7 linked regions of the Xenopus tropicalis genome follow. The protein of the gene in region 1 purifies or fractionates together with the protein of each later gene. This does not show direct contact. Links are inferred from orthologs where the notes say so. Each region holds a gene or a part of one and is shown in the gene's direction. Other genes may lie near its edges.

Region 1 (3,500 bases):
TGTCCATATTGAAGAATTGTTTCTAAGTTTACATTGAATATTGACATGCCCAGCTGTCCTTGCTTATTTATATGTGCAAACAATGGTCCCTTTTACACCAAATCTGTTTTTATTTCTCTGCTTTTCTCATGCAGATGAGGAATTGGAAGATAATCCCAATCAAAGTGACCTCATTGAACAAGCCGCAGAGATGTTATATGGACTGATCCATGCCCGTTACATACTGACTAACCGTGGCATTGCCCAGATGGTGAGAGTGTTGTTGATAATGATATTATTTTAGGCAGCTGTATTTTTAGTTTTTAATGTTAATGATAAAAATACTGCTGACTGGCTATTTATAGTGTTTCCAAATTCACTTTGGTATATGAAATGTTTAGAAGCATGCAGGCTCAAGGGGCACAGTTTTTACATGCTTATTTACCAGCAAGTTAATATCCACAGCAGTGCTTTCTGTAGTTACATTTATAATTAGCCCTATTTCCACAACGATTAGATGCAGAAATAATACTGAATTAGCAATTTTATATGTTTGTAATTAAGTATTCTGTTACTGATTTTTCCATGCATTAGCAATTTTATATGTTTGTAATTAAGTATTCTGTTACTGATTTTTCCATGCTTGTGGATTTAGAGTATAGGGAGAAGGAATTTCTCTAAGGGATGATGTGGGGGGGGGGCACAACCTGCAGTCTGTAGCACCATGGGGGGGTCATTATTTCAGATACCCATTCAAACCAATGAGTAGAGCTGCAGCTTTTTTGACTTTGATAGGGGTCACATGAGTTAATCAATTATTTGCTGGCTTACTCTGTATATTTTGGGTCACTCCCACTTGTTAGTAGCTTGTTCTCCCTAGAGTGATTGGGATTAGGGTATATGCTATTATGAACTGGTGCTGTCCTTCATGGTGTAATGTTAGAATGTTAGCTTCATTTCTTTGAGTATTTTATGCATTGACGACAAGGCACTCCATAAAGAGCAAATACCCTATCCGATAGAAACTGGGAAACTTTTGGTTGTGTATTTTTTTTTTTATAATCTTTTTTTTTATTGCTTTTAATGCAAACTAACAAAATAAAGCAGCTCTTCCTCCTTCCACCTTCGCTTTTGGAAGGACTAAGGACAGGCGTATGCGCAGTAGAGTGAAAAGCCGACTTCTCTGTTAAAGTTCGGTTTTTCACTCTACTGCGCGCGACGGAAGGAGGAAGTGCTGCAGGTAACCCGGGCTGGTGCTGTTCTCTCCTAACAGGGGCACCAGCCTGGGGTAGAAGGTAAGCGATTTAAGTCACTTGGGGTGCCTAACATTTTGGCACCCCCAAGTGACTTTGCCTTTCCTTCTCCTTTAAGATGCCCCAGTAGCTCCCCATCTTCTTTTCTGCTGATTCCCTGCACATGCTCTGTGCTGCTGTCAGTTACTGAGCATAGGGACCAACTCACAATATATTGTATATACAGAATAAAAATGTCACAATATATTGCAGATTAGTAATTTATTCAGATTCATAATACTTGGTAGCTCTGAATCCAGTGCAGTTAGCGTCAGAAATAATCAGCATCACCCTCTATGACAGGTGAACCTTTATTTTCTGCTTGATCATTTGTGACGACCCCTAAGCTTGGCTTCCCAACAGCTGCCCAGAGCCCACTGAGCATGTGTGTCACAGACCCTTTCCAAGATGGGGAGCTCCTGTGACAACTGTGAGATGCCCTATATATTTTTGGAACACTGACTGAATAGCTTTCCAGATGTTATCTCAGATTTCCCATCAGAAGCGTTCTGTATTCCTGAAAAGCATATGGTTTAGTGATAGAGCATCCTTGGGATTGGTTACATGCAGAGTTTGTCCTCTAAAATCAGAATGCTAGGGCTGCATTATGTACTTAATGATGCCGTCTCAGATATTCTGGCACATGTACTTCATATCAGTGCTGAATGGACAGTGATCAAACTTGGCTGGAACTAAATGTGCTTCAAGTTGCAATAACCTAAAAATAATTTTTGCTTCTACTTTTGCTTCTTTGCCTGAGCTGACTTAAAGTCTCTACCTAGAATTGGGGTATAACTTTTAGCTTTTTGGAAGTTATTTCATGTGAAAGACAAAGCAATACAGTTGTTAGATACTGTGTTTAATCACGGTAGTCACAATATTTTAACTACTACACTAATAACCTAAATAAAATTGTATTGTATTTCCTCAAGCCTGTTTTCTATGTATTTCTGTGCAGCTGGAGAAATATCAACAGGGCGATTTTGGCTACTGTCCCAGAGTATACTGTGAGAACCAGCCCATGCTACCTATTGGTAAGGATTGTATGGCAGTGCAAACAAATGATTTGCCCTAATTACTTTCTCTGTTTTTCCTCTTTTTTATTTTGGTCCTTATTCCTCTAAATTTTCAATTCTGCAAAATGTAGCAACAGGCATTTTGCGGGTTTTCACACTATTGTCCTAGCCTAGAGTACATATTCAGAGGCAAAAAATGAGCAGTGGTATATTAAACCAAAAAGGGATATTTATATTTTAATCAGGCTATTTTGCAGTGTTCTTGCAGACCCAAGAGCTATTTTCTTGTACTAAATAAAATACACATTTTTAAAAAAATTGGTTATGCATTATTTGTTGTGTAGGGTTTGTTTACTATATGAATTAAAAACACATATTGCAGGTTCCCCACTGCTGTTCCTGCTTCACTACTCATTACTGAACTGATCGGCAACCTTGTTAATGAACTCTCACTTGTCCCACCCCAATAACCTTCTACCGCACTGGGCAACGTGCACAGTAGCCCTGAAGGCAATGACAGTACAGTGGTTCCTGTACTGTATGACAAGCATGCCTGTCAATTTGTTAGCAGATGAAGGTGAATCTGCAATATGCATATAGTAAAGAAACCAACATCATAATCCATTCCAGTTTAGAAGCTTAAAGTGCACCTGTCATCCAGACATTAAAAGAGGTATAATAAAAGTCCTTTTCAAATTAAACCTAAAACCCACATTCATTTTTATAATTAACACATTCAAACCCATTATAAAGGCATTTAAAAATCCCAGCTGTCAGTCATATATTGCTTGCCCCACCTCTATGCCTTAGGCATAGAGGCAGGGCAGACAATAACTTTAGCTTTCTGTTCAGCACTACCTAGATGTCACTGCACATCTCACTTTCCCCCTCCCTCCTCATCATCTAATTGGGTAGCCAGTGCAAGGGCCTGGGTATCTGGTCCCCCATTCTGGTGCATAAACAAAATTTTGGCATGATACAAAGTCTTCATAACAGTGTTTACAAAATGGAGCCTGCCTGCTTGCTTTGATTGAGTTATTCCAAGACTTAAACAAGATTTATATTATTTATATAGCGTAAGTAAAGTTTATTTTGCTTAACTAACAATATAGAAAATAGTTATGTCTTAGGGTGACCGGTCCCCTTTAAGCAGTGACAATTCTTAGTAAACCACCCTTTTAAGAAAATCTAAATGAAAATGTTTTAGAAGATG
Region 2 (4,210 bases), about 2.4 Mb from region 1:
ATCAGTCAGACCCTGCCCAAGTGGAGCTTAAAATTTAAAGTCCATATCACATTCACAAACTATGGTAAATTTTATCAAGACCCAGTTAATCTGTCTGAATGTTTCTGGATTGTTGGGGGAAACCCAAGCAAGCATGGGCAGAATGTACATAAACTTTTCATAGCTTGTGCCTTGGATGAAACCTAGGCCCCCACCAAACATTGGAAGACATCAATGCTAAACTAAAATAGGGAAAGAAAAAAGTATGACCTACAGTGTTGCACCTTCCGCTCTTTCACATTGATAGCATATTTAATTACCCTGTTAAAATGTAACTTAAAGGATAAAAATAAATTGTGCTAAGACAGATTAGTGAAGCTAAAATTTACATTAAAAATCACGATTTAGACAAGGACCAACTGAAAGCCAACCTAGTAAATCAACAGTTAACAAGCTACCTATATACTATGAATGTAGCTGCTCTAAGACTGTGAATTTCTTCTTAGGTGCCAAATTATTACCTCATTATATGCCAAAAATTGGCATGTGATGAATATTAGGTTCTTGCCAGGATTAGGTGATAGGCTAGGGTAGCTTGGTCTGTGGGCATATTTGGGCATCTGATTATATAACAGGGCATTCTTATCTCAATAATGGGCCTCTCCCTGGCGATGCAATACCATCAGCAAAGCACCTATGCTTGCCAGCCCATATTACAAGTCAAGTCTGCCTGGGGCCACTAGGTAGCATCAACACCCTTCCACCCCTGCTACTAGCACCCAATCACCCCCTCAGTTCAACGTTGTAAAGTCCTGCCTAAACAAAACTAAAAAGCGCCTGACATGCTTTTTGCCCTCAACAAATAAGGGCTTTGTCAAAGGCAACGTGTTTGCATAACGCACGTCTATTTATAACCAAAGATAATTCAAATCAGCCAATGGAGATGTCAAACTAAGAAAAGTGGGCAGGCACATCTACATTCAAATTCGATAAGGTCACTGGCACAGGTGATGTTATCGAATTTGGATGTAGATGTGCCTGCCCACTTTTCGTAATTTTCTTTACCCTGCACAACCTCCTTTGTGGTATCTTTGGATCAATGGAAGGTGCTCCTCATCTTCAATATTTTTTGATCAATGCTAAGCTAATGAATCTAAAAGTTATCAACTCAACCTGTTTACAGGGCTTCATTCTTTTTCTAGCTGTTAGGTTAACAGTATGAATTAAGTTAAACAATTATGGAATTTCTGTTAAATAAAAACTAAAGAAACATTTTGAAAATGTAGAGACCTGCATTTTTATTACTCTGATATAATTGTGGATTGTGTTGCTTACAGTACTGTGAAGAAGAAGCAATGGAAGATGAAGAGTATGACGATTATTCCAAGGAACTTAACCAGTATCGGAAGGCAAAAGAGGGCAGAGGTCGAGGTGAGCTCTTGATAAGTCTTGTCACACAGTGATTGTTGACCTCTGAGTGTTTTCAAAGCTGTATGTAAATAGTGCTGCTGTGCACTGCTTTGTTGAAGCTGCTGATCTTACAACCTGAAGTTTTGTATTTTTTTTTTTTTTGTAATAAAGGAGATATTTCTTTGGAACACATGGACCGTTAGTTTAAAGTTTAAACCGCAGTTTAATCCATTACAGGTATTTGAAAGTGATGATCTTTTTTTTTTTTTTTTAACCTCCTTTACAGGATTTTATAGAGGCCGCGGTCGGGGCCCACGTGGAAGGGGATACAAAATCATGGGAAGAGGAAGAGGACGAGGCAGAGGAGGGAAGGGAAATGATGAGGATGAATACTATGAGGAAGAGGGTGTAAGTTATGTATTCAAGACATAAATCATAAAATCACAGGTTTTTTTTTCTAAATACATTTATATCATGCCTGTGATTGCTGTTCTATCTGTGTACAATATCAAAACTGAATGGGTGTTAAAATGCAGTTTCTGTCCTGATTTACTTAGTACTGATACATGGCAATGGACATTAAAAGTGTCAATTCACTGAAATGAGATGTGATTAATGAAGGTTCTGATGAGTTGTGCAGTTTGTGTGCCTTAGACTGCAGAGATGGTGCTTGTGTGTTAATATTAGAATAAGAACATTTAGGTCTTGTGGCAATTTTGATTGAATGGTAATATAGTTAATGAATACAGTTCTGTAGGCTAGAAAATTCTTCAGTTTTCATATTGTTTCAGTGGTCATTCATTACTTTTAACATTTATTTTTTTTTAATCAGCTTATTTCAATTAAGCAAACTGTATATTTCTGATTCTTTTTTTCTCATTCTAGGATGGAGGAATGTATAGAAATGATTATGAGAAGCCACACCATCGGGCTGATAAAAAAGGGAAAGTTGTCTGCAAGTATTTTGTAGAAGGCCGCTGCACCTGGGTAATGATTTTACTTATAGGCCTAATAAACTTATATAGTAGCACAGTAGATTAGCTAACTAGCTTACAGCCTATCAGACTGTTGTTTTGACCTACTTTCTAGTCTTCTAGCAACTTCTATGGCTTTAAAAGGGTTTAGTCATGGAAATCTTGATACTTTTTTTTATATGAGTGATGAATATATTGCATTGCTGTACACATGTCTAACTGGTTTATAAGATGCAACCTTAAAAAAGGTTTTTATTGTTTTCTCTTAATGAGGCGGCAAGTCTTTTCTCTGGCATGTCTGTGGGACACAGGAACCATAGGGTATAGCATCCACCACTAGGCACCACTAGACCCCAGCAGTGTGCCTTAGGTCAGTGATCCCCAACCAGTGACTCGGGCAACATGTTGCTCCCCAATCCCTTGGATGTTGCTCCCATCAGGGACCACATCAAAGAGCCAATGTGGCCCCTGATCTTATGGAAAATCAAACTTGCCTAATCGAGATCTGGCCAATTTCACGCCAGATATCGATGGGGTAGGCCTGTTGGGGGGCCCATACACGGCAGATAAGCTGCCGAATCGGTCTTAAAGAACTGATAACGACAGCTGAATTTGTCCGTGTATGGCCACCTTTAGGCCCAAGGACCTCTTATGCTCCTCCTGCACTAATCAGTCCTCTGAAGCACCTTTCCTTGCTCAGGATCTCCCTGCTCCCACCACAGCTCAAGCCCCTGTGGGGGACACCTCTCCTGTGCCTGCCCAGCCTTCTACTTCCATCCAAGATCCCCCCCATGTGGGCTCTGCAGTTGTCCACTGACATCCCTAAATTGGCAGCATGCCTAGACAAATTGCTTGATAGACTTGGGCCTAAGGCAGTAGACCAGGAAGAGGCAGGTGAAGATCTAAACAAATCCTTCTCAGAAACATTAGATAACCTAATTTGCACAGTCCTACATTGCCTTGATCTCAAAAACCTGACATCAACACCTGATTCTTCAGTCTCTGTTTAAGAGACAAAAGGAATCCTCTCTATTCCTTTCCATGCTCAATTGGGTAACATCATTCATGCTAAGTGGGACCACCCAGAGAAGGCCTCCTTAGATCAATCTTCACCACTTCAGGTGAATCTCTCTATCCTATCTTGGCCTCTGCCTGGGTCAGCAGGGCCTTGGTCTTGGTCCACTTTCCTCACAGAAGGTATCAATTCCGGCACTCCCAGACAAGAACTTCTGACTACAGCTCTACAGATTAATTAATGAAGCCAATGATTACATCTGCAAGGCAGCTCTTGATGATGTACAAGTAACCAGTTTTACCTCTGCTCTTTGGTGGCAACCCGGTGCACTCATCTAAGAAGTCCCTTACAAAGGGTAGCTCCTCTAGAACCCGAGCTAGATAAAATTATCAGTCAGGCCACAGGGGGGAAAACACCTTGCTACCTCAAACTTGGGTCCTGTACATCCTTTCCCGCTTTTTTCGTCCCTCCATATCTTCCAAGACTTCGACCTCGAGCCTGATCTTGAACAATCAGGGAGGCACCAGTAGGTGTGCACATGGTCAGTGGTATACATACCACGGCTAGGCAACTGGCAAGCTGACTACCTCAGGCAGCAGCTGCTAGATTCAGGAGAATGGTCTGTAAACCAAGAGGTCTTTCAGAACATTGGTGGGTCAACCACAGGTGGACCTCATGGTATCCAGACAAAATAACAAGGCGTCCTGTTTAATAGCCGGTTGCAAAGAGCCCTTGGCCCTGGCAGCAGATGCCATGACAATATCATGGGATTTCACCCTTTCAAATGTGTTACACACCTTCCCCCAAACATCCTACATTCCAACCCAGGTGT
Region 3 (3,500 bases), on another chromosome or scaffold:
GCCATTAGTCTTGTTGGTCTTAAATCACTCCAGTATAGCTTTCACTGAGTCTGGCTAAAAGGTGAAGCTCCCTCCCAGTCTCAGGTCTCATGCTGACTGAAACAGGCTTTTTCTTTAGAATTTCCTTTTATTTGACTGCGTCTATCCAGAGCCAGGTAGGGTTTGGTAGTTTACAATTTAAATTTTGGTCTTATCCGAGCAGAGAACCTTTTGCCGTGCTTGCTGGTTTTCTTGCATGCCTTTTGGCAAACTCTGAAAGGATTTTCATATGGGTCTCTAATTGATGGCTTTTTGTTTGCACAGTTTAAAGCTGGTTACCATCAGCATTTGACTAGTTACCCTTTTACCTGGTCACCAAACCTTGGAGAGAGCTTTCTCTAGGCTGACTCACAGTTGTGCTATTGATTTAGTGGTGCTCCAGGAATTTTATTTTAGACCCTGCTATTTTCCAGAATTTATTCTGGATACTGACACATGATACTCCTTGGTCTTAATGATGCTGTTTTTTCAAATATGTGTTTACACTTTTAAATGCATAGTTGGACTTGAATTAATTTTGTGATGTCTGAAGGCAGTTAGTTGCTCAAAGCTTATTTAGGGGTTTTGTAAAGGAAGTGAATTCTAATGGAGTCTTAGATGCTTCCATTTATTTTTTAATAAACTTATGTAGACTTTGTATTCCACTATGGACTGTTTTACACCCTGGATTTAATGCAACAAAACGTAGAAAATACAAAGCATTACATACTTTTCAACTTTTCATGGATTGGTATACGTACAGTGACTAGGGAAAACCATAAACCTAAGATTAAAACTTTCAGGCAGTTTTGGGCTGAGTTTTATTTTTTTCCATAATAGGTTCAATGGAGCTCCATACAGAAGCACCTGCCTCCTTCAGCCCACCAGCAGTGCACTGGTAAACACCACAGAGTGGGTAAGTTTAATCTTCTATATATACTGTAGTAAGTCATTTTGAATGTTGTAGTTTAAGAGACATTTAACAGTCGTAATAGAAAACTTTTAAAAGAAGAATACCTCCCAGTATTTAAAAAACTGAAAGGAGGACAAAACAAACTGCTGTAGCTGTAAAAGTATAGGCCGCGCCAAATAAAAACAAATAAATCCTAACCCTAACTCACATCCTTTTCTTCCGAGTGTCCTGCTCTTTTATTGTTGAATTTTCATGCCTTTTTACCAGTTATATTCAACTCCCAGCCTTTCCCCCCTCTGTGGTTTTTAACATTTTTTTTTCTTATTTTAAGTGTTTAGATTCTTGAGAACTATCCATTTTTTTTCTTCAGTTATTGCATCTCAAACATAGTTGTGGTCAATTGATCATTTTTTTTCTAGATTGTTTGATGTATGGCTTAAGTGGTATATAGATATAGCCCAAGCACTTGGATAAATAGGTTACCATTTCTAACTGCTGATTTTTCTTTTCTCTCAGCCCCCATTTGTTGTTACGCTTGATGAGGTGGAGCTTGTACACTTTGAGAGAGTGCAATTTCATCTTAAAAACTTTGACATGGTTATTGTTTACAAAGAGTACGGCAAGAAAGTCACCATGATTAATGCAATCCCTGTGGCTTCACTTGACCCCATAAAAGAATGGCTTAAGTAAGTGTTTCATGGAATATGAAAGATGTAGTGCTGCTGTTAACACATTTTTCATGTATCTGTTAATCTGATTACACATGGTCCAGTAGTGGTTTATGTTGACTGTTACGTTCACACGCTATGCTCCAACAGCAGGTCTATTGGGATGTGGACAGCAGAGACTTCTCTGTGCAAAAGGACAGATAAATAATTGGGGTGCTGCTCTTGTGTGAAAGGCTGGTGATGCAAGGCATGGAACAACTGTATATGGACTGGGGGACATTTGGGCATTTTAATTTTATTTAGAAAACACTTAAATATACAGGGACACAAGAATTTTCTATTAAAATATCCCTTTTAATGTTTATCATACTGGAATATCTTTGCAACAAGTGACTTTTGAATACATGTCATTACTAGGTGTCTCTTACAGTAGTATAAAGCAAAGCAATAATAGGATGGTCAGGCAGCAAAGAGCCTCCATGTGCTGCTCCTGTCTTGGGTTGCTGCTTGATCAACCTGGAAATCAGTTCCTGTGTTTATTAGATTGATGCAAGCACCTTCGACATCTGCTTTATAAAATGATGTGTTTAATTTTTGCAGGTATTTTGGTTGAGAAAAGGCATGGGGGAAATTATGGCTGTGTACTATAAAAGAATAGAGCAGAACATTTGCTAGCTGAGCTTTAGTGCTTGGGGGACACACTTTAGTTTTTCAACTAGCCATAATCTTTACTTGAAAGATATATTGCTGTGGTGAGCAACTTATGTCATGATATACATAGACATGGTAGTGACGTCATTTCTGGTCACACAGGCAGGAAGTAAACATAGGGAGTGCACACGTGCTAGATCTGAGGGGAGTAAGGTCTATTGAAAATGGCAAATACTCCTAGGGGCATAAGAGAAAACCAGAGTGTGTTCTTCTCGCCATCTCCAATAGGAACCAGTCTCCAACATTATATTAAAGGTAATGAAAAAAAACAATAAATGTAATGGGGCATGGGGTTTAGAAAGGTTTTACTTGACCTTTAAGATACTGTGCTTATAACAGTTGTTAGTAACTTTACTTTTTGCAGTGTTCTCATTGAAAGCTTTCTTCTACAGCTCCTGTGACATTAAATATACTGAAGGAGTACAGTCACTAAACTGGACAAAAATTATGAAGACCATTGTAGATGACCCTGAAGGTTTCTTTGAACAAGGTGGTTGGTCATTTTTAGAGCCAGAAGGAGAGGTGAGTTTGGTGGTTGCATTTGTAATTGTAATTTATATTTTTGCATATGTAAAATAGTTTTTATTTATCCCAAGCAGATCTTTATTCTGGGCATACTGTATCTGTTCATTTTGCGAATATACTTTTTTTTTTTTTTTTTTGCCTTATTGGGGACAGGAGACAGGAATAATGAATTATATTTAGCTACCTATTTGCAGAAACAGGATTTAAAACTGAAGAAGGGTTTGGCTAAATTCTACCTCGTGTTGCCAGCTTAACCTTGCTTGCTAAGGGCAGCCTCCCTCTTTTTTTTTTTTTTTTTCTTTTTTTTTTCAGTTAGCAAATATGGCACACTTTAGTTTGGCAATGGTGGTGCCCAGGTACCATTCTTTTTTGCCAGCTTAAGGATATTGGCACACTGCATATATCTGCTTCTCAGCCCTTCGTGGGGTGGGGAGAAGCCTCCTCAGCAAAGGGCCACTTCCATAAACCCCCTTCGTTAGCACCCTAGGGCCAGGTACATTATTTGTTGTAATGCATGTTTCAGTAAGTTAACCTTACTAACCGCACTAATTATATTAAGTGATCCCTCTATTTAAAACTGTGTGTGCAGAAAAGTGAGTGGATTATGTGTTTTGATATAAACAAAAATTTGTGCACTCTACAATTTGTGTGCTGGACCCAAAACT
Region 4 (4,191 bases), on another chromosome or scaffold:
TAGTAGCACACAACTGATATACATACTAGCTTTTTAGATATAACAACCGTAAGGAGCAGGCAAGTAGTCTCATGCATTGAACCGAGTACTAAAGCCTGTCTAGAAATGCTATATTTTATATACTGAATTTACTGTGCTAGCCAACACATTATTGGCCAATGCCTTCAAAATTTCCTCATCAGCTCCCCATCTTAATTGTCAGTGGCACTGCACATGCTCTTTTTGTGGGCTGCGGTTGAGAAACTAACAGGGTGTCCATCATCTAAGAAGCAAAAAGAGGTTTTTGTGTATTGTGAGTTGGTATCTAAGGTTAGGTAAGTGTCAGGATCCCAGAGCATACTGTGGGAATCTGCAGAAAAGATGGGGAGTTAACGGGGGCAAGTTTGTTGATTTATCTACACTGCTAAACAGCTGTAGTCACCTTGGGCTGCTAAAGAAGAAAAACATTTATGGCCTAATTCTTCATTGAGCTTTATTTAAAAGGGAACTATTGGGAAAAAAAAGAGCTTCATCTTGTGGAAACAAGGAACTTTATAGATAAATTAAATTAAATATTCAGTTCCATTTCTAAAATAATTGTAATCGTTCCCCATCGCCCTCTTGGCAGTCTCTCTACACAGGAGTCAGTTTGTGATTCACCTAGATAGTGTATTATGTTTTCAGACATAAAACTGCAACTCCAAGTTTCTTCAGTCAGATTATGCTTCTAGTAAATTTGCATTTATGCCTTACCTTCCTGTTTCACTTTTTTTGTGGGTGGAAAGGCATTTTGGGGTGATCAGTAGCACTGCAGTGATCTCATCCCTGACCAAAACTGAGTGTCTGGACTGCACAAATGCACATTACAGATGCTGAAGGGGTAACACCCACTTCGCTAATACTTATAATGTACATGCACTCTGTCCAGGCACCCAGAAACCAGCACCATTTCATCTTTGTTATATGTGTATATTAAGCTCCTGTTGAACAGTATATTTGCCCCCTCAAAAGTACATGAAAATGTACATTATCACTTTATGCAATGATGACTGTTAAATGATAATTGCATTTATTTTTGTGCTTAGGTTTTTATTTTCACAGTTCATCAGCCTCTGCATACTTGCATTTATACAATCAATATGTCAATTTGTTTTTTTCTGACCCATTACCACTTTGTAGGTTTTAGGGGAAACCTGAATGTGTCAAAACATTAACATTGTAACTGGATTCTTTTAGGCTCCTAATATATTTTGTGCTTAATTTCAGTTGTAAAGATGATCTATATGTCAGGGAATTACACGTGCACAGCAAATATGCTTGTTGACACCTTTTTGTAAACTTGATTTTATTATAAATATACCCTTTGTATTTGACTTCTGTAAGGGTTTAGAAAGTAGTATCATTTTATTTTAGGTAGAGAATTTAAAGCAATTGTTTGCAAAAATGCTCACCAGAAAAAGGCTATTTATATTATACATAGAACTCTTTTTATTTTTTAGGACATTTACATCAAGTGAACTAAATTTAAATAATTCAGCTGTGTATTAGAATTATAAACACAACCAAAGTACACTCTGGCTTCTACCCTTTGGCCATTTTAGATCCAACTGAGGTGACTTTTATTCCAAGCTTTACCTGAGAGGGGGTTAACATGGGGCTTACACCCTTACAGAGCGAGTTGGATGTGGCTGGCATATATCCATAGAACAAACTTAGCATCTATGTGGAAATGACTTTCCCTTGGGCATCATATTAGATTCAGGTGACAAGTTTGTGCCAAATCGTCTTTTAGATCTAGAGCCCTGTGTGCCTTTTTCTCTGGTAACTGGTAAAGTGATGCCTCTCAGCTACAGCTCAGCTCTCAAGTGTTTATAAACTCTAAGACACACATTGAGGAGAAGAAGCATTATATATTGAAGCATTAAACCCTGACTGGTTGTGCTTGTCTTACTTCCCTGGTCCCCCAGAAGAGAAAACCCTTTGTAATATTTCCACATGATTTCTGTTTTTCAGGAATTACATGAATGATTGCTTACGGACCAATGTATTTGTACGGTTTGAGGCAGAAACCATTGCCTGTGCGTGTATTTATCTTGCTGCCAGAGCTTTGCAGGTAAATTCTTCTCAATGTTTACAGAATGTTTGATCATGTGATATCACTAAATTGTGTGTTTTTATAATAGTTTTATTACTGTACAAGTTGTTTTTTTATAACAGACCTTGAAAATGCTGTCAAACTAAAGATTTGTATTTGCCTTTAGTTACCCTTGCCAAATAGACCACACTGGTTTTTACTTTTTGGAGCTACTGAAGAAAACATTCAAGATATCTGTATAACCACTTTAAGGCTCTACACCAGGAAAAAGGTATTGTCTGTTTATTGGCATGCTCACACAAGTAGCATCAAGAATTGCAAACTTGCTTTAACTGGCATACTGTTAATTATGTTTAAAGCAATCGATTTGCAATAATCACCCACCCCTGCCAGTTTGGTGCCATTGTTTTTTAGTGCAACTTTACCTGGTGTTTAAAGTAATTCACAAGCTAAGTTGTTTTTTTTAATCAGAATTAAAAAGTGCAATATTTACTGATTATATATATTTCAGTTTGGTGAGATTCTTTAATAGGTCACTTAATATAAGCTGTTTTGTGAAGTATTCATTCTGGGGGTATAGTTTTCCTTTAAAGGACAAGGACAAAGTCAGGTCAGAGGAGGCAATTTTTGAGGCACCTTCTGGTTTATTGTGGTGTTTCATAGAACCATTGGCACAGAATTTTATATGGTGCCACCATTCATTTAAAGGAGGAGTCCACTTGGGGCCTTACAAATTGGCCCTTCTGACTTTCTGAGCTTTCCTTATTCTTTAAAGTAATTCACAAGCTAGGTTGTTTTTTAATCAGGGATTAAAACGTGCAACAACAAAAACAACTAAATGTAAATATTGTATCAATTTAAAAAAACTACTCTAACTACACTAATTTCCTAACAGCCGAACTATGAATTTTTGGAAAAAGAAGTAGAAAAAAGGAAAGTAGCCCTACAGGAAGCAAAATTAAAAGCAAAAGGGCTGAATCCCGATGGAACTCCAGCTCTTTTATCAATAGGAGGATTCTCTCCTGCATCTAAACCATGTGAGTTGATTTGTCTATACGTGTTCTATAACAAAACTGGGTAAATGTTCCTTGGCTGTATCAGTGAGCAGTCCTCTCCCAAGCCCAGTACCTAGTTGCCAGGTTAGGGAGTTGCATGTTTATAGCACTCATTCTGGTTACACTTCTTGTTACATGAAGGGATTTTTGACTGATGAAATGACATACGTTTATTTTAAAAATGTATTGTTAAATATGTGACCCCATTTTTTCTAACATTCCAACCCCATGTAGGCTTCTGTCCCATAGACTGAGAAAGTGCTGTTGACCTCTTTTATGTATTGTTAATTAGACAACTGTTTCTGCTTTCCATTTTTAGCATCTCCAAGAGATGTGAAAACTGAAGACAAATCCCCGAGTTCAGCAAAAATTAAGCGGGAGATTGATGACAAGCAGTCTTCTAAGAGCCCCTACAACGGGTAGGCTGGTCTCCATGGAATTATAATGTTTTTGGTACTTGGGGGTGACTTAACATTACACTGTGAATGTTTTTGTGCTAAAACTCCCAATTTTTCAATTATGGTTAAAAACTTGAATGTTCAATATTTATACAGTGGATATAAAAAATCTACACACCCCTGATAAAATGTCAGGTTCCTGTGCTGTACACAAATGAGACAAAGATAAATCATTTCAGAACTTTTTCCACCTTTAATGTGACCTATAAACTGTACCACTCAATTGAAAAACAAACTGAAATCTTATAGGTGGAGGGAAGAGAACCAAAAAAACTAAAATAATGTGGTTGCATAAGTGTGCACACCCTCTTCTAACTGGGGATGTAGCTGTGTTCAGAATTAAGCAATCACATTCAAAATCATGTTAAATAGGAGTCGGCATACATCTGCCATCATTTAAAGTGCCTCTGATTTACCCCAAATAAAGTTCAGCTGCTCTAGTTGGTCTTTCCTGACATTTTTTTAGTCACATCCCACAGCAAAAGCCATGGTCCACAGAGAGCTTTCAAAGCATCAGTGGGATCTCATTGTTTAAAGATATCCGTCAGGAGAAGGGTACAAAAGAAATTCCAAGGCATTAGATATACCATGGAACCCAGTGAGA
Region 5 (3,930 bases), on another chromosome or scaffold:
CCTAACTACCAACGCTGGCAGGGGTCCCTAAACTTTCTTACATATGAGTCACAGTCAAATGTAAAAAGACTTGGGGAGCAACACAAGCACCATAAAAGTTCATGTAGGTGCCAAAGAAGGGCTAAGATTGGCTATTAGGCAGCCTCTATGCACACTATCAGCTTACAGGAAGCTTTATTTGGTAGTAAATCTTGTTTTTATTCAACCAAATCTTGCCCCCAAGTCAGGAGCAACAATAAAAAGTTGATGCGCAACATATTGGTTGGGGATCCCCCTTGCTCAAGTGTGGCATATTTTCACAAAACATCTCATATTTACTAAAAAATCATAAGTACAAATTTTCTTTTGGCATAAGTACTCTTTTAAAGCATTGTATTTTCCCTGTACAATTCTAGTGGTTAAAATTTGCTAGAGAATAAATGACATGTGGGATATTAGCATGGAAGAGATAACATAGAAAATGAGATGCAAAGTGGCCAAGGTGTCATTATAATGGAAGTTTGCTAGCCTAAACCTGGAGCCATTTCTCTTGGCTAGCATTCGTTCCTGCGCTATTCATAAATTGGCAAATATTTCACACTAGAAAAATTTTTACCTTGGCGAAATGAGGTTAATGTTTTGTTTCGATTCACAAACAATTATAATCCTTTATAGTAAATTGCCAACGTTGTGGCAAATTTTTATTTTCGGTAACAATATGCCAACCTCTGTAAATATGCCCCTATGTAAGAGATAACACGCACAAATTGCGCAAGGTACAGACTGCCGGAGAGACATCCTGCGAGAGAAAGAAAGCTGTCACTCACAGAGAGAGAGAGAGACCGGAGATATTACATTTATAGAATAAGCACTGCATTTCCCTTACATCCACTGAAGGCATGAGCAAAGCTTACATGAGCTACAAACACTGGCCAAATCTTTCTTTATCGAAGGAGTGTAAAAAGGCATGAATCTGTATACAAGAACGGAAGTCAAGGCTGGGAACCGGGGCTCACCCACCCATATACCCACCCATATACCCACACATATACCCACACACAACCACGACACAGCGTCTAGCTGAAACCTTATTCATTTGCGTAACCGGAGACTCATCTAACATGGGAGGGCAGGCATTCCGCCTATGACGCAATTTTACCCAGAATCCTCTTCCCCCGACTGTCACCTGTACTCCGAACTGAAGGGAGGGGAAGGCCGCCCACTGCATGTGACGTAGGGGTGACGCGCACCGTGCCTTGCTGCGAGCGGCAGGTACCGCTGGGGACGCCATGTTGTGAGAGGAAGTAAAGATCTGTGTGAGTGAGAGAAGGGAGAAGAGCTGTGCTGGAGTGGTTCTGGCTTGCCGCGCAGTACCGGACAGCTCACGGTGACTCTAGGGGGGCGGACTGGAGCTCGGTCACTTTGGTGATTTTTGGGGACAATTGCTGGAATCACATCGGGTTGAAAAGATGCCGCTGGCGCAGCTGGCAGACCCGTGGCAGAAAGTGCCGGTGCAGAAAGTGGGAAGCGAGGTAAGATACAAATAATGGAAGGTGCGGGTATCTCGGCCAGAGAGAGAAGGGGACACAGTCCTTTCACAGGGAAGGGTTCCGCCTGATCGGCACTTATCTCTTTCCATCCCGAATGAGTATGAAAGTGTGAGTGCTTCGGGCTATCTAGTTCGGGCAGTAGTACAGACTCCCTGGCACTCCAGCTTCAACTTTTAGCAGCTCCGTTTCTTACCAGCTGCGTTTCTGAGAGGATGCTGGGAGTAGTAGTAACACAATAGCGGGAGTGCCAGAACATAACTATCTCTGGGCTGTTTAACTCTTTCCATCTTGCAGCACTCACTGACAGCTCTTGGTGGGGAATGCCAAGTAGCAATTGAGTTACAGGGGAACTCCACGCTGAAAATGTTTTTTTTTTGCATAATAATAGAAAATGCTATTCTGAACAACTAACTAATATACATTAAACGTTTTAGTTAAAAGTTATTTTCAAGCATAATTGCTATTGAAAACGGAATCCTTTGCCTTTCTGGTTCTGACTCCAGCTCCTTAACAAACCTGGAGAGTTGACCTGCTACATTGTTTCAACAGTCAGAAACTGATAACATTAAGAGATGTCTATAAAGCCACTGAAAATGTTTAATGTAGAATGGAAAGTTACTTTTGGGTGGGGTTGCCCTTTAAGGACCTGGAGGTAGTGGATTTAAGACGCATTTATATTTTTAGTTCTTTTCTTTTATGTGTTTTTGTCTATTTCTTATTAAGTAAGAGTTCAGCCTCCTATAATATTGTGTGAAGCCATAGAATTAGTAATGTACGTTATAGCTAAATTGGTTATTGGATAACAAATTGCATGTATATGACCCTAGAATTCCAGCCCTTTCTCGGAATGTTTACATTCTATTAATAGAATCTCATTAACCCTCTAAATAATTCTCCACATTATTCATAATGGCTGAAAGAACTGGTAGAAAACTGGCAGCAAATGGCAGAATGTAGCCATGTACAGGTCTGTACTTGTCTCCCCTGCCTTTGGAAACCCACCCCTACCTTTTATAGTTAGTGATAGACCAAGTGGGGTTTATTTTGTGCCATTCACTAAAGGGCAGTTAGACCAAATAAAAAAAATTGTGCTAGTGCACGTATTTATGCCTTGCAACAGGAATGTTTCTGTAGATAAGAGGCTGCAAGAGACTGGCATTTGTAGGTTTTGTAATGTGCAGATGTGGGCAATTAAGACATAAGCTCTGTTGTAAATATAGAAGGACGAAGGGAGGTGTCTTTCACTTTATACTGCAGGGACTAGAAGTGAAATGAAGGAAAGCACACAGGGCAGTGCCTGATAGTGTGCAAGTGAGCAGAGCAAAGGTACTGCGCTGCAGGTAAAGGAGATTTTAGAGATTCAAGGTTGAATGACTAATTGAGGGCTAGGAAAGGAGTGACGATGTGACAAAGTGCTGGCAGCCAATGCCGTTCAGTAATTTGACAGGAAGCGTTCCAAGATAATTTGGCAAGTTTAATACTCATTGTCTTTATAAAACCTCCAATTTAAGGCATGGCGCATACGTCTGCCTTACAGTTTAATTACACACACATATCGGTTCATTTGGGATCAGTTGTTCCTGTTTGGGTAGTGTGTTTGATATATAGAACCTGGCTTTATAATTTATATGTTTAACATTTGAAATCTTGTACATCAGCAGCTTAAGCTGTATGCTCATCTGTTTTATATCCAAAACAAAGGAAATGGAACAGAATACATTGTATCTTTGCACCTGTATTTATAAATATAGTGTGTATCATTTCTAGTAAACACAAACATATTTCTCAAAAACCACCTAAAGGGGTAATGCACACTAAAGACTCAGATTATTGGTATTGCTGCATAGCCCACGCCACCTCTAGCGGAACCTAGGAAATCATCTTTTAGTAACTGGTGGGAAGCTGAAGCACTTCTAGTATTTGTGTGTTCTTGGGTGTACAGGAAGTCCCTAAATAAACTGTCTCTTGCCTCTTCCTGTGCATCAATCTTTGCTCTCTTCTTAGTTGTCTCTGCAGTCACTTTTGAAAGCTACAGAGCTGGTTTGGTCAGTAAAATTACTGTGATTTTCTGGAAAGCTTTCTATATTTTATATGCACTCTGGGTTGGGGGTCTCAAATGTAAATATGCAAATATTTTTTTTATATATATAATATTTACAATTCACAATGCAGATTCCATTGAACAATATATTGCTAACTAATTACTTATGTGTATGCACGCAAATTTCTCTTTTTTTCTATTGCTGTTCTCATTCTTTTACTGAGCCAACAAAATATTCTATTCCTGACCTTTCTCTGACGTTTTTCTCCTTATTCCTCTGTAACCTGATGACCATTGCTGAATGTATTTGCCACCAAATAGGGAATTCTGGGATGGAGGAGGCAGCATTTCTAAGCAAAG
Region 6 (2,213 bases), on another chromosome or scaffold:
GAAGAGAGGCAGAGAGATTCCTGAACCTGATAGTGAAGGGGGCAGAGAGCCCCCAGGGAAGAAACGGAAGCCCACAGAAGGTAAGGGAGACTGGGGTATGTCCCAGCTGAAGCCCACCATGAGCAGTCTCATACAGGTTCTTATGGGGTATCTGTAAATGAGCTGCTGTTCGTGGTGGTAGTACAGGGGCTCATATAGTAGCCGTGTGTTTGGCCCACTGGCCAAAGGGTCAGATTCCGTAAGGTATGACCGCCTTTATGGTAATAAGCCGCTTATATTGCAGGCCATGCTTCTGATGAGGAGGATTCTGGGATTGAACCCTTTGTGAGCGACCGCAAAAGACTGTCTGGCAGTTCCTCTGAGGCGGCAGCTGTTGAGAGACAGACTGCGAGCAGGTCGGAGAAGGAAAAGAGATCACACAGCAAGAGTAATGAGACCGAGAGTGACAGTGATTCCGAGGGGCCGAGCCCACCACGAAAGAGACCCACCAAAAAGAGTAAGGTGTCCGACAGCAGTGGCACAAAGGGAACAGTAAAGAAAAAGCCATTGGAGGAATCCAACAGTGATCCACAGGCCAAGCCAAAGTCTGGCAAACAGGGGGCTTCTGGGAAATATCAGAAAGGTGGGAGGGAGAAGAAGCCAGCAAAGAAGGGAAAGAGAGCGCCTAGCGTGGGGTCAGACAGTGAGAGTGGAACAGAAGTGACAGACACCAGGCAAAAGAAAAAGCCAAAGCAGGAGAGAGACAGTGGGAGTGAGGGAGAAAGCAAAGTAAAGAAACCTGCACAGAGGAGAAAGGAGAGCGCAAGCCCCAAGAGAGCGCCGCAAGGCAAAGAGCCAGCAAAGCGAAGGAATAAAAAAGAGACAGACAGTGAAGAAGAGAGCGATAGTGATGAGGAGGAGGCAGTCGAAATGGACTCTTCAGACAGTCCCAGTAAGAATGAGACTGGTAGCAAAAGAACAGCTGGCAAATCAAAGGGCTCGGACAGTGAGGATGAAGCAGAAGAGACAGACACCAGGCTGGAAACCGACCGTGAGAGTGAGGAAGAGAGCAAAGCTAAGAGAGCCAAGAGTGCAGGGAGCGCTACACTACAGAAAGGGGGAGAGAAGGTAAAAGCAGCGCAGAAACGGAGAAAGGCCGATAGCGAGGGAGAGAGCGATAATGGCAGGAGCCAATCTGAGAGCGAAGATGAGATGCCTAAAAAGAACTCTCCGAAGAAAGAGACAGACAGCGAGAGTGCAGAGAGCAGTGCTTCCGAGAGAGACTCCGATAGTGAGAGTGAAAAAGAGAGCGCAGGACAGAAGAAAAGGAAAGCGAATGGGCGCAAGGCCAAGTCAGATAAGGAAAGCGGCAGTGCCAAGAAAAGGAAGAGACAGCCAGACAAGAAGGAGGAGACAGACAGCGAGGATGAAGATAAGGAGAAAGGAGAAGGTGCCAAGGACAGGGAGTCTGGTGAGGAATCGGCCAATAAGAAAGAAGAACCAAACGATGGTGGAACTGAGAGCGACTCCTCTGTGGCATCTGATGGCGACAAGGAGAAAAGCAGCAAGAAGCAGAGTAAGGTGAGCTGTGCCACTCCTGTGCCCCCCCCATGCTGGGTATCCCTGTGCCCCCCCTGCCATATCTGCACTGGGGATCCCCGTGGCACCCCCCTGCCATATTCCATACCCATATGAAGTGTTATATGGTGCCTGATATGGGCTAAATATGAGCATTACCTTTAAAGGGGAACTAAAGACTTCTCACAAAGATTCTGTTTCTCAAGGAACAAGTATATCCTTAGCCTTTCCAACTGACCCTGAGCCCAAATCCTTCCCTGTATCTGAACTACACGGCCTGACTTCCATTTTATCCCCCCTAGAGTTCATCCCGGGAAGACCACCCCTCGGTGGCGCGGCTGAAGCGCTACATTGTTGCCTGCGGGGCGCGTAGGAACTACAAGAAGCTCTTCCAGGACTGCCGCTCGGTGAAATCCATGGTGCAGCTCCTGAAGAACGAGCTGGAAGAGTTGGGGGTTAAAGGTGAGGGTACGGTGGGGGGATGACTTACCTTGCTGGGGCTGGAGGTTGGGCAGAAGGGGGTGGGCACAGAGAGTGGTGGGGTGAATGGCAGCTGCTCATAAGAGGCAATGTTTGTTCCGCGCAGGGCAGCCATCACTAGCCAAGTGCCGCATTGTTAGAATGAAGAGAGAGGAGGCAGCAGAACTGGCGGAACT
Region 7 (4,032 bases), on another chromosome or scaffold:
CACTACTGGAGCAGTCCCTGGACTAACCAACATTCTCCCACAGCACATGGCTGCTTCCCTTATATGGGCCTATGCACCACCCTGTGGCCATAACCCGAACTACAAGTGTACTCCCTGTTAAAGGGACAGTAACACCAAAAAATGAAAATGTATAAAAGTAATTACTATATAGTGTAATGCTGCCCTGTACTGGTACAACTGGTGTGTTTTCCTTAGAAAGACTACTATAGTTTATATAAAAAAAGCTTCTGTGTATCCACGGGGGCAGCCATTTACAGGAGAAAAGGCACAGGTTACTTAGCAGATAACAGATAAAACCCCATTATATTCTACAAAGCTTATCCGTTATCTGCTATGTAACCTGTGCTTTTTCTCCTTTTTCCCAGCTTCAATGGCTGCCCTCGTGTTGACATAGCAGCTCATTTATATAAACTATAGTAGCGTTTCTGTTGCAAACTTACCAGTTTTACCAGCGCAGGGCAACTGTACATTATATTTTAATTACTTTAAAAGACTTTAATTTTTTGGTGTTACTGTTCCTTTAACTATTGACAACCCAGTCATCCCAGTGTTCCTGTTTCCCAGCACCACCCTGTGGCCTGTCCTAGGGGTTCCTGTCCTAAGGGCCCGTTTTTGGTAAACCCCTACATGTACATACATTTAAATCCTGATGTTTATATTAATCCTTACCATGTACTTCATTTCCAGAGTTTTATATCAGACAATGAGGCTGATTTACAAACAATGCTGCTAAATTGCGCAAGTGCAGTTGACAATAGAAACTTACCAGACAAATGTTTTGAAAAGGCTTTAGTACAACTTAAAAAATAAAAGCAACTGCTATTCTTAATTTAGCATAACCTTTACTCCTAGATCAGCCCCTATATCCCTTATACCAAGGTTATTGCTACGTGCTGATAAGAGGGGGTAATGTACATACATATTAATGGAAGGTCTGCATTGGCAGTGAATACTTCCTATTGGTAATATTACCAAAGTAGGGCACTGCGATTACAAGATGACAAATGCAGACGGACACGATGTGCAGACAATTAGATCGGCACCAACCTGCACTTTCTCTGCTCCCAGCCGGACTCACACGAAACTTTGCGCTTTCTTTAGCGATTCCACGGTTCCCATAGAAACCAAGTAGCTGTGCAGCACTAAAAACCTTCCCTCCCTGGACGCGAAAACCTGCTACTTACGTTCCGCCTCCCTAATCATACTAGCCAAATGATGTGAATTTCCGGTAGGAAAGGGAAGCGGTGAGCCCCAGACAGGCTGCTGTAGCGAGGGACGGGCCCGGGCTGCTGCATTTGGCTGAAGAGAATACCCGGGCTGCTCGTAGGGAAGCAGGTAGAAGGGAGGCACAGCTTTCCTTAGCGGAGAAATAAATGATAAAATATATAAGTACCCGGGCCTAATCCAGGGGGTGGGGGTGGCAGCCCCCTAGCCCCTTCTCTTTACTGACTTATAAGTCAGTTTATTTACACCCGGTCTTTTATATGTATACAGTCAGTTACTGGCCATTAGTTTGCACATCTCTGCAAAGTATAAGCAACAGACAGGCCGGGGCGCAGCAACTATCTCATGGGGGTCCCTCAGCGTGCGAGGGTGTATGGGGGGTTCATAAGATCCAGTATGTCAGTGACTTTCCCCAAAGTTACCTAAAATCTGTTCATAATATCGCTGCCTTCCGTTTTCAATACACAAATTTGATTTCAACATATTTTAACTTACAAAAAAGTTTTGGAACTTTCTGTACATTGTATGTCCTTCATCTCTAGTGAGCTTTCCCAGGAAACTCTAAATTGTATAGTTGTATAATATTTTACCCCAAGTCTTGGATTTGTGTTTATAAGATGCATCTTACCTCTTGTATCAGTCAGTATTTGTATGTAGTCTGTATATTTGCAGGGTGGCAGAGTGTATTTGTATGTAGTCTGTATATTTGCAGGGTGGCAGAGTGTATATGTATGTAGTCTGTATATTTGCAGGGTGACAGAGTGTATTTGTATGTAGTCTGTATATTTGCAGGGTGGCAGAGTGTATATGTATGTAGTCTGTATATTTGCAGGGTGGCAGAGTGTATTTGTATGTAGTCTGTATATTTGCAGGGTGGCAGAGTGTATTTGTATGTAGTCTGTATATTTGCAGGGTGGCAGAGTGTATTTGTATGTAGTCTGTATATTTGCAGGGTGGCAGAGTGTATTTGTATGTAGTCTGTATATTTGCAGGGTGGCAGAGTGTATATGTATGTAGTCTGTATATTTGCAGGGTGGCAGAGTGTATTTGTATGTAGTCTGTATATTTGCAGGGTGGCAGAGTGTATTTGTATGTAGTCTGTATATTTGCAGGGTGGCAGAGTGTATATGTATGTAGTTTGTATATTTGCAGGGTGGCAGAGTGTAAATGTATGTAGTCTGTATATCTGCAGGGTGGCAGAGTGTATATGTATGTAGTCTGTATATTTGCAGGGTGGCAGAGTGTATTTGTATGTAGTCTGTATATCTGCAGGGTGGCAGAGTGTATATGTATGTAGTCTGTATATCTGCAGGGTGGCAGAGTGTATATGTATGTAGTCTGTATATTTGCAGGGTGGCAGAGTGTATATGTATGTAGTTTGTATATTTGCAGGGTGGCAGAGTGTAAATGTATGTAGTCTGTATATCTGCAGGGTGGCAGAGTGTATTTGTATGTAGTCTGTATATTTGCAGGGTGGCAGAGTGTATATGTATGTAGTCTGTATATTTGCAGGGTGGCAGAGTGTATTTGTATGTAGTCTGTATATTTGCAGGGTGGCAGAGTGTATTTGTATGTAGTCTGTATATTTGCAGGGTGGCAGAGTGTATATGTATGTAGTTTGTATATTTGCAGGGTGGCAGAGTGTAAATGTATGTAGTCTGTATATCTGCAGGGTGGCAGAGTGTATATGTATGTAGTCTGTATATTTGCAGGGTGGCAGAGTGTATTTGTATGTAGTCTGTATATCTGCAGGGTGGCAGAGTGTATATGTATGTAGTCTGTATATCTGCAGGGTGGCAGAGTGTATATGTATGTAGTCTGTATATTTGCAGGGTGGCAGAGTGTATATGTATGTAGTTTGTATATTTGCAGGGTGGCAGAGTGTAAATGTATGTAGTCTGTATATCTGCAGGGTGGCAGAGTGTATTTGTGGAAACTGCCACTGTCTTTTGCCAAATGTACTCACTGCAAGCACTGCTTGGAGTGCAGTCAGAGTGATGTCTAACAAATCTGTTAGTGACTGAGCTCCCAAGTACCCCTGCCCTTAAAGGATCAGTAACACTAAAGCTGCCCATACACGGGCAGATTCGCTCGCTTGGCGATGTTGCCAAGCGAGCGGATCTTTACCCGATATCCCCACCCTGGGGCCAAACGATCGAATTATAACAGCAGCAATGGGGCAGTCAGTTCGGGGACCGCATCAACGAGCCGATGCAGTCCCCGATCCGACTGAATTTTCTAACCTGGCCGATCGATATCTGGCCAATTTCAGGCCAGATATCGGTCAGCCAGGCCCCTCGTTTCTGCCCCTACACGGGCCGATAAGCTGCCGAGTCAGTCCAAGGGACCGATATCGGCAGCTTCTATCGCCTCGTGTATGGGGGCCTTAAGAAATAAAGGTGTTTTAAAGTAATTAAAATATAATGCAGTGCACTGCACTGGTTAAACTGGTGTGTTTGCTACAGAAACGCTACTATGGTTTATTTAAATAAGCCACGGGGCAGCCATTCAGGCTGGAAAAAAGAAAATGCACAGGTTATGTAGCAGATAACAGATAAGCTTTGTAGAATATAATGGGGGTTTATCTGTTATCTGCTATGTGCATTGAATGGCTGCTCAGCAGCTTTGTTTATATAAACTATAGTAGTCTCTCTGAGGCAAACACACCAATTGTACCAGTGCAGGGCAACAGTGCATTATATTGTAATTACTTTTATGCACTTTCATTTTTTGGTGTTACTGTTCCTTTAAGATCTGCAATATAAATTATGTTGGATTTTCACAGAT

Evidence for each region.
Region 2: the proteins of csnk2b (region 1) and zc3h4 purify together in Homo sapiens (affinity purification with mass spectrometry; 3 studies listed by BioGRID and IntAct, with this or other methods). This does not show direct contact. The link is inferred for Xenopus tropicalis from reciprocal best matches to the Homo sapiens genes CSNK2B and ZC3H4.
Region 3: the proteins of csnk2b (region 1) and supt16h fractionate together in Homo sapiens (co-fractionation; 4 studies listed by BioGRID and IntAct, with this or other methods). This does not show direct contact. The link is inferred for Xenopus tropicalis from reciprocal best matches to the Homo sapiens genes CSNK2B and SUPT16H.
Region 4: the proteins of csnk2b (region 1) and ccnl1 purify together in Homo sapiens (co-immunoprecipitation; 3 studies listed by BioGRID and IntAct, with this or other methods). This does not show direct contact. The link is inferred for Xenopus tropicalis from reciprocal best matches to the Homo sapiens genes CSNK2B and CCNL1.
Region 5: the proteins of csnk2b (region 1) and rps6ka3 purify together in Homo sapiens (affinity purification with mass spectrometry; 5 studies listed by BioGRID and IntAct, with this or other methods). This does not show direct contact. The link is inferred for Xenopus tropicalis from reciprocal best matches to the Homo sapiens genes CSNK2B and RPS6KA3.
Region 6: the proteins of csnk2b (region 1) and hirip3 purify together in Homo sapiens (affinity purification with mass spectrometry; 4 studies listed by BioGRID and IntAct, with this or other methods). This does not show direct contact. The link is inferred for Xenopus tropicalis from reciprocal best matches to the Homo sapiens genes CSNK2B and HIRIP3.
Region 7: the proteins of csnk2b (region 1) and nkapd1 purify together in Homo sapiens (affinity purification with mass spectrometry; 3 studies listed by BioGRID and IntAct, counting the BioPlex papers as one, with this or other methods). This does not show direct contact. The link is inferred for Xenopus tropicalis from reciprocal best matches to the Homo sapiens genes CSNK2B and NKAPD1.

The regions. Positions count from the first base shown.
Region 1 is NC_030684.2:74,728,978-74,732,477, forward strand, and holds part of csnk2b (casein kinase II subunit beta), read left to right. Parts: intron 1-134; coding exon 135-250; intron 251-2,229; coding exon 2,230-2,305; intron 2,306-3,500. UniProt on the Homo sapiens protein: Regulatory subunit of casein kinase II/CK2.
Region 2 is NC_030684.2:77,131,088-77,135,297, forward strand, and holds the start of zc3h4 (zinc finger CCCH domain-containing protein 4), read left to right. Parts: upstream 1-1,410; intron 1,411-1,675; coding exon of another isoform or gene 1,676-1,725; coding exon 1,726-1,797; intron 1,798-2,274; coding exon 2,275-2,376; intron 2,377-4,210. UniProt on the Homo sapiens protein: RNA-binding protein that suppresses transcription of long non-coding RNAs (lncRNAs). LncRNAs are defined as transcripts more than 200 nucleotides that are not translated into protein.
Region 3 is NC_030677.2:142,081,602-142,085,101, forward strand, and holds part of supt16h (FACT complex subunit SPT16), read left to right. Parts: intron 1-858; coding exon 859-934; intron 935-1,447; coding exon 1,448-1,617; intron 1,618-2,702; coding exon 2,703-2,832; intron 2,833-3,500. UniProt on the Homo sapiens protein: Component of the FACT complex, a general chromatin factor that acts to reorganize nucleosomes. The FACT complex is involved in multiple processes that require DNA as a template such as mRNA elongation, DNA replication and DNA repair.
Region 4 is NC_030681.2:115,976,745-115,980,935, forward strand, and holds the start of ccnl1 (cyclin-L1), read left to right. Parts: upstream 1-1,391; 5' UTR 1,392-1,992; coding exon of another isoform or gene 1,993-1,999; coding exon 2,000-2,092; intron 2,093-2,240; coding exon 2,241-2,345; intron 2,346-2,969; coding exon 2,970-3,111; intron 3,112-3,448; coding exon 3,449-3,548; intron 3,549-4,191. UniProt on the Homo sapiens protein: Involved in pre-mRNA splicing. Functions in association with cyclin-dependent kinases (CDKs). Inhibited by the CDK-specific inhibitor CDKN1A/p21. May play a role in the regulation of RNA polymerase II (pol II).
Region 5 is NC_030678.2:43,846,682-43,850,611, reverse strand, and holds the start of rps6ka3 (ribosomal protein S6 kinase alpha-3), read left to right. Parts: upstream 1-1,130; 5' UTR 1,131-1,448; coding exon 1,449-1,511; intron 1,512-3,930. UniProt on the Homo sapiens protein: Serine/threonine-protein kinase that acts downstream of ERK (MAPK1/ERK2 and MAPK3/ERK1) signaling and mediates mitogenic and stress-induced activation of the transcription factors CREB1, ETV1/ER81 and NR4A1/NUR77, regulates translation through RPS6 and EIF4B phosphorylation, and mediates cellular proliferation, survival, and differentiation by modulating mTOR signaling and repressing pro-apoptotic function of BAD and DAPK1.
Region 6 is NC_030685.2:5,180,814-5,183,026, forward strand, and holds part of hirip3 (HIRA-interacting protein 3), read left to right. Parts: coding exon 1-80; intron 81-283; coding exon 284-1,560; intron 1,561-1,859; coding exon 1,860-2,019; intron 2,020-2,143; coding exon 2,144-2,213. UniProt on the Homo sapiens protein: Histone chaperone that carries a H2A-H2B histone complex and facilitates its deposition onto chromatin.
Region 7 is NC_030683.2:84,671,412-84,675,443, reverse strand, and holds the start of nkapd1 (uncharacterized protein NKAPD1), read left to right. Parts: upstream 1-1,232; 5' UTR 1,233-1,356; intron 1,357-4,032.